Sus scrofa: one gene and its partner. The protein of the gene in region 2 interacts with the protein of the main gene of each other region in a biochemical or structural test. Links are inferred from orthologs where the notes say so. Each region holds a gene or a part of one and is shown on either strand. Other genes may lie near its edges.

What was found.
Region 1: the proteins of CNOT1 (region 2) and TNRC6A form a complex in vitro, tested with the Homo sapiens proteins (2 studies listed by BioGRID). The link is inferred for Sus scrofa from reciprocal best matches to the Homo sapiens genes CNOT1 and TNRC6A.

What each region holds. Positions count from the first base shown.
Region 1 is NW_018084874.1:617,536-621,361, forward strand, and holds part of TNRC6A (trinucleotide repeat-containing gene 6A protein), read right to left. Parts: intron 2,976-3,826; coding exon 393-2,975; intron 1-392.
Region 2 is NC_010448.4:20,274,819-20,278,388, reverse strand, and holds part of CNOT1 (CCR4-NOT transcription complex subunit 1), read left to right. Parts: intron 1-768; coding exon 769-918; intron 919-1,582; coding exon 1,583-1,763; intron 1,764-3,570.

The DNA of each region.
Region 1 (3,826 bases), on a different chromosome or scaffold from region 2:
CCTTCTAAGACCAAATACAGTACCTAGTTTTTAGATCATTGCTTTATTCCTGGGAATATTTTAGTCAAATAATAAAGCCAAAATGTAATGGCTTAATTCAGAAGAAATGAGAAAAGTGTACAGCATTCCCACCATCTCATTTCCAATTCTGCCTTTGGTAGCAGGTTACCTAATGAAGAGTGGAGTATGAGGGATTCACAAACAATGCCACCAAAAGACCTTCCCCATAACTTTCTTCCCTCTAAACTTCTGGATTAGAGTTCAAAAAAAAAGCTTTGTGTGGCCATCCCAACACTTCATGAAACCAATTTTATCACAAGAGTTCATTGAAACAAGGTTCACAGTACTGTTTAAGTACTGGGTAACACAGATTCCAGAAGATAAAAACTTACCGGAGCCATTGCTTGCCTCTTTGTTTGAGATGGCACTTGCAGATGGTAGCAACTGATGTACCTGTGCTTGCTGGTCTGAACGGCTACTGCCATTTGGGACATTTTTGTTCCACATGTTCACATTTTTGTAGTTGTATTTGCTTGGATCTCCCCAAGCTGAAGTTCCATCATCGATCTCCATTTTGCGACGTATGGATTCTGGGGATGGCTCCTCCCAGCCTGTGGGTTCTTCTTCTTTAGCTGGGGCTGGTATAGGTCCTCCCAACCAGCCTGTACCTGGAGGTTTGCCTGTGGCTGGCAGGATTCCCCATGATCCGACAATGTCTTGTTGCTTGTTCCAGTCCGGAGAACTGACTGGCTTTGACGAATCTCCCCAACCTAGAGACTGATTAGACTTTGGAGGATCCCCCCATCCCTGGGAAGGATTCGATTTAGAAGATTCATCCCATCCTGATGAATTATTTGGATTTATGTTATTTCCCCAAGTAAAAGAGCTAGTTTTACCAAGTTCATTCCAACCAGAAACGGACCTGTCACTGTCACTACCTCCTGAGCTAGATTTCTTATTAGCCTCACCCCAATGGTTGCTCCTTGAAGTTTCTCCCCAGTTATCACCGGCAGAAACGGACCACCCTTGGTTTGATTTTTGTCCATCACCCCATCCCTGTTTGTTCTTTTGCGAATCATTCCATGCGGACTTCTCTTCTTTGCAATTCCCCCACTGATTGCTCTTGACCATTCCTGTAGCAGCAGAATCATCTTCCCATCCCCCCTGGCAGTTTGAGCCTTTGGAATCTCCCCACCTCAGAGCAGGTTTGGGATCTCCCCACCCCGATACAGATGAGGTATCATTACTATTAGGGCTAGTCTTCTCTATACATGCCCCTGAGTTAAAAGTCTGTGTTGCAGAGCTTCCCCAGGCCTCTGTCCCATTGTCAGTCTTTCTTTCCCCTCTAGGTGATGTTTCCGTATCCCAGGCAGTATTCTGCTTAATAGGAGTCTGTCCCCAACCAGAGTTGGAGAGGACACGTGGATCTAAGTCAGTTCTGTTTACAATGCTTTGGAGTAATGTGTGCTGATCAATTTTTCTTCTATCTCTACTCTGATTTTCCCCAGTTCCTTTTTCCTCGAGGCGTCCAGTGCTTTCTGTACTACCTTCACTCTCCACTGTACCTCCTGTTTTGGCCCACACACTGTTTTGCTCATTTGTCTGAGATGTGGCAGAACCCTGATCCTCTTCCTCAGTAGATTTCCATCCATTTGTAAACTTCTTACCATTGCCATTTGCACTGTCATTGGAATGCTGATTGCTAGGCAGTTTGTTCCATTCCACGCTGGGTATGTTAGTGCCAGTGTTTTGTGCAGGAGCTCCCCATCCTCTTCGACTTCCGCCAGAATTTGCACCATTTCCATTTCCCCATGATGCACTCTGGGAATTCGCTGTCCCAGACTCCCACACACCTCCTCCTTTATTTGTGTTAACTTGAAAGTTAGTGCCCATAGGCCCATTTATGCCAGGCTGCATTAGAGTTGCATTCACAGTGTCACCATTAGCTTGGCCATTAGGGCTTGAACATTTGTCTCCAGAGTAATTAGAACCATAGGCACCCCATGTAGTACCGTAAGAGCCTCCACTTTTTGACTCTCCATTGCTAAGGTGAGAAAGGGAAGTGCCATTCATAACCGATGGAGCCTGTATCTGAGGATGATTCATTGTGCTCACACGCCAGGCCCCTGTATTACTAGGCAGTTCATTATTTTGTACTGAACCGGAGTTTGGTAAACTAGAGGTCATAAAGTTAGTAGTGTTATTTGGTCCAGTCATTTCAGTGGTAATATTTTGAGGTTGACCACTGAATGAAACCTTCTGTGTACCACTTACTTCAGATTCACAAGTTTCCTGAAGGCTTCCCCAGGTACCATGGGTAGAAGAACCACCCACTTTAGAGTTAATACTCTGATTGTTAGGCATCTGGCCTAAGGTACTGCACTGAATATTGATGCCAGAACTACCACTCCCTACAGGCCCTTTTAGGGCAAGTCCATTGTTCTCTAATACTGGCCAGGCACCATGGTTGCTAGCTGAATTCAAAGTGCTTGGATTTAACCCTCCATTTGATGAAGAACTTACAGTGCCCCAAGCATTCATTCTATTGTTGCTACTTTCTGATTTGCTTTCAGGAGCATCCACAGAGACCTGACATGTGCTTATTATGGCTCCATGGGAAAAACCCCATGGCCCAGTACTACTTCCATGGCCTACATTATTGCTGCTGCTACCAACCACAAACTTGTTTTGGGATCCAAGTCCAGTGCTATTCCGAAGGCCATCTTTTTCGCCACCTGTGCTCCCTGAAGCCATGATAGTGATGTTTCGCTCTGATTCAGAACTGGAAGCAGAATCAGCATCCATACATTCTGAAGCCAACTCTGGATCACTGCCAGGGACTGAGGGCCATGCTTCTTTTTCAGGGGAGTCGTTTACAACAGCATTCTTACAGTTTGTGCTAGAGTCACTTGTAGAAGACACAGGTCCCCGCTGCAAATTTTCATAATGGGATCCTGAAGTACTGTGGTTAATATCTAGAATAAAGAAGAAGCACAAAAAAATCTACGGTAATTGGGAGAAAAAAAAAAAAAAACACATTATAAACGTGCACGGTTCTTCAACATCAACATGATACAATACCTAGCAGCATAATTAAAAGTGCATTGGTTATATCCCAGCCACCAACTTTCCATAGCCAGTAATTAATTTCGTACTGGTGGGGAATTTTGCTGCTTTGTACACTGATGTTATCCTAAGAGCCTGCAGCACTACTTGGAACATAAGAGCCCCTCAAGAAACATCTGTTGAATGAATGAACTGTTCACTTATCAGCAAATAAAAGAATTCTCGAGTCAGGAACGGTAAGGTGGTAGTGATGTACTAGGATAATGGAGCAGCCCAGGTTTGGTGGCCTGACAAGGGAAAGAAGGACCTGGGATGGAGTTCCTACTGTGGTGTGCTGGATTTAAGAATCTGACCGCAGAGGCTTGGATGGCTGCGGAGGGGCGGGTTCAATCCCTGGCCGGGAGCAGTGCGTTAAAGGATCCGGCACTGCCACAGCAATGGCATAGGTTGCAGCTGTGGCTCAGATTCAACCCCTGGCCCAGGAACTTGAATATGCTGTGGGGGCAGCCATTTAAAATGGGGGGGGGGGAAGGGCTGGGATATAAATGGGTAAAAGGACAAGAAAACAGGCCGAACATGATGAAATATTTCAGAAATACATTAGGAATCCTTTTCTATCCACCCTGTTTAAGAATAGCTTTATCACACACCTGTTTTGGGTATAAGAATTATAAAACCTTTTCCATTACGCTTCTATGTCATTAGTATTGATATTCAACCTGAAAAACACTGCATACAAGCAAAAATAATTTTAGTTCTA
Region 2 (3,570 bases):
AGGCCAGGGGTCAAACCCACATCCTCATGGATACTAGTTGGGTTTGTTAACCACTGAGCCATGACAGGAACTCCTTTTTTTTTTTTCCCCCTTAAACATGCCTTTCTTTCTTTTTTTTTTTTTTCTTTTTTTTTGTCTTTTGAGGGCCGCTCCTGCGGCATATGGAGGTTCCCAGGCTAGAGGGCGAATCGGCGCTGTAGCCACGGGCCTACGCCAGAGCCACAGCAACGTGGCATCCGAGCCGCGTCTGCGACCTATACCACAGCTCACGGCAATGCTGGATCCTTAACCCACTGAGCGAGGCCAGGGACGAACCCACAACCTCATGGTTCCTCGTCAGATTCGTTAACCACTGAGGCACGATGGGAACTCCACCTTTCTTTTTTTTAAAGTGGCAGGTATCATGTCTTGTTCTGTTAGGGCATCTTCCAAAGGCTAGGGCTCTTGGTGAATGAGGAATCTCATTCTGTACTCTTATTTGAAATCCAAGTCCAGGAGAAAAACAGTTAGTGGTGTAAACTAGACCTCTCCACAGAAAATACCTATCCTGTGTTAAGAAAGATAACATAGTATAGAATGAGAGATTACTAATCACTTTATATGTAGATTCTTCTAATTAAAGTCTGTTAATAAAAAGCAGCAGCTCTTTAAGATATTTATAAAGTATATAGTTTTAGAAACAGTTCTACCATTTTCCAGAATAGATACAATTTGCTGTTAAGTCCTGCAAATGCTTCTGGATATGATTATTGCATTTGTCTGTGGCAGGTGGATATGTTGAGTGAAATTAACATTGCACCCCGGATTCTCACCAATTTCACTGGAGTGATGCCACCTCAGTTCAAAAAGGATTTGGATTCCTATCTTAAAACTCGATCACCCGTCACTTTTCTGTCTGATCTGCGTAGCAACCTACAGGTTAATTGGTTTGTCTTAAACTCTCCATCTTTCATGTATGCACAGTCTTGTGCCCAGACTCTTTGAAGTTAGTCTTTTCAACTTCATTTAAAGGTTTTAAAGCACATTGTCTCTTTTACTGGCTGGTAAGAAAAACTGGATTATACATTTTACTAGTTGATTTTGCCAGTGATGCAAAACTATAGCCTTGGAAGAGGCAGCCAGGGAATGGACTGATTTTAAGAATTGATTGCTGATATTCATTCCCATAACTCCAAGACTTAATAAATAAACAGACTCTGGTTGTTTTCTGTATAGAAAATGACTTGAGGTTGTATCATCTTTCCAGTCTTTCCATACCGAGAAAATACATTTTTTTTCTCCTCTCTGAATCCTTTTTTATAATTGAGATAGTGCATAATTTGACTCTATAAACTTTTTTGCTGATAACTGTTAAAACTCTGGCTTTTCAAGGGAAATCATGTTTCTGTTTTTGATAAAACCACATTTTGGGCAGCTGTGTATTTGTTCAGTAACTTCACAGATTCAAGCAAATATCTAAAATTTAAGCCACAAATATTGGGAGTTCAGCTTTTCTACAAAAGGCATAAAAAAGGGTTTTTAGAATTGGTGCCTGAATTAATCCTCTGTGAGAGTAAGTCAGCTTTCTGTTTTGTTCATTTAGGTATCCAATGAGCCTGGCAATCGCTACAACCTCCAGCTCATTAATGCACTGGTGCTCTATGTAGGGACTCAGGCCATTGCACACATCCACAACAAGGGTAGCACGCCTTCAATGAGCACGATCACCCACTCGGCTCACATGGACATCTTCCAGAACCTGGCTGTGGACTTGGACACTGAAGGTAGGTGAAGCTAGCCAGTCCTGAGTCATGTTCTCTGCCCTTGTCACAATCTGGTCCTAAAAATACTTTAAGCCACAATAGACAATGTTCCGTCAATATGGTTATGGGACTGGCTAGCCATTTTATCTTTTTTATTGTTGTTCTTTTTAGGGCCTCATCTGCAGCATATGGAGGTTCCCAGGCTAGAGGTCTTATCGAAGCTGTAGGTCGAATTGGACCTATACCACAGCTACGGCAACACCAAGATCCTTAACCCAATGAACAAGGCCAGGGGTCGAACCTGCATCCTCAAAATGGATCCTGGTCAGATTCATTTCCACTGAGCCACAATGCGAACTCCATCATTGTATCTTTAATTGGATAGTATCTGCTCAATACAGAAAACACAGGAAACATAAAGGAAAGAATACTTAGCACCTCAGTTAATATTTCAGTGTGTATGTGAAAATAAACATGTTCTGGGAGTTCCCGTTGTGGCTCAGTGGTTAACGAATCTGACTAGGAACCATGAGGTTGTGGGTTTGATCCCTGGCCTCGCTCAGTGGTTTAAGGATCTGATGTTGCGTGAGCTGTGGTATAGATTGCAGACACGGCTCAGATCTCCCACTGCTGTGGCTCTGGCGTAGGCTGGCAGCTACAGCTCTGATTTGACCCCTAGCCTGGGAACCTCCGTATGCTGAGGGAGTAGCCCTAGAAAAAGCAAAAAGACAAAAAACAAACATGTTCTTTTAAAATAGGCTGATGTTACTTGTTTTGTTAGCCTATTATTCCAACATTTATTGGTGCCTCTTTGCCAAGCAGTATGTTAACTATTAGGTGTAAAAAGATTAATGAATAGGACTTCTTTACCTGCTCTACAAAAAATTCACAGTATAATTCCTATTGTAGGTTGCATCATGCCTGGTTGAACTACATTTTATTTATTTTTTTCCTTTTTAGGGCTGCACCCATGGCATATGGAGGTCGCCAAGCTAGGGGTTGAATCGGTGCTGCAGCCACTGGCCTACACCATGACCACAGCAATGCTAGATCTGAGCTGCATCTGCGACCTACACCACAACTCATGGCAATGCCAGATCCTTAACCCACTGAGTGAGGCGAGGGATTTAAACTGTGTCCTCATGGTTCCTAGTCAGATTCGTTTCCACTGTGCCACAATGGGAACTCCAAATTGAACTACATCTTTTGGTGTTCTGGATTCATTGTTGTATTTAAGAGACCCTAGTAGATGATGACCAACTGAGCTATACAATCCTGCCCCCCCCCTTTTTTTTTTGGCTGCTGTGTGGCATGTGGAGTTCCTAGGCCAGAGATCAGATCTGAGCTGCAGTTTTGGCAATGCCAGATCCTTAACACATTGCACTAAGCTGGGGATCAAACCTGCATCTCAGCACTGCAGAGATGGCCACCCATCAGAACTCTAATCCTGCTTATTTTATTTTTTTTTGCTTTTTAGGGCTGCACCCGTCGAATATGGAGGTTCCCAGGCTAGGGTCAAATCAGAGCTACAACTGCCAGCCTACGCCACAACCACAGCAACACAGATTCTGAGTGAGCTGTGTCTTGGACCTACAGCAAAGCTCACACAGCAACGCGGGATCTTTAACCCACTGAGTGAGGTCAGGGATGAACCTTGTATTCAGTCAGTATTCTCAGGGATACTAGTTGGATTCTTCTGCTGCGCCACAACGGGAACTCCTAATCCTGCTTATTTAAACTAAACACATGTATTTTACAAGGATGCCTACTTTTAACTTTGCTATAGACTCTTGAGAAGCTAGTTTTTAAGCTAATCACTTGTCTATAG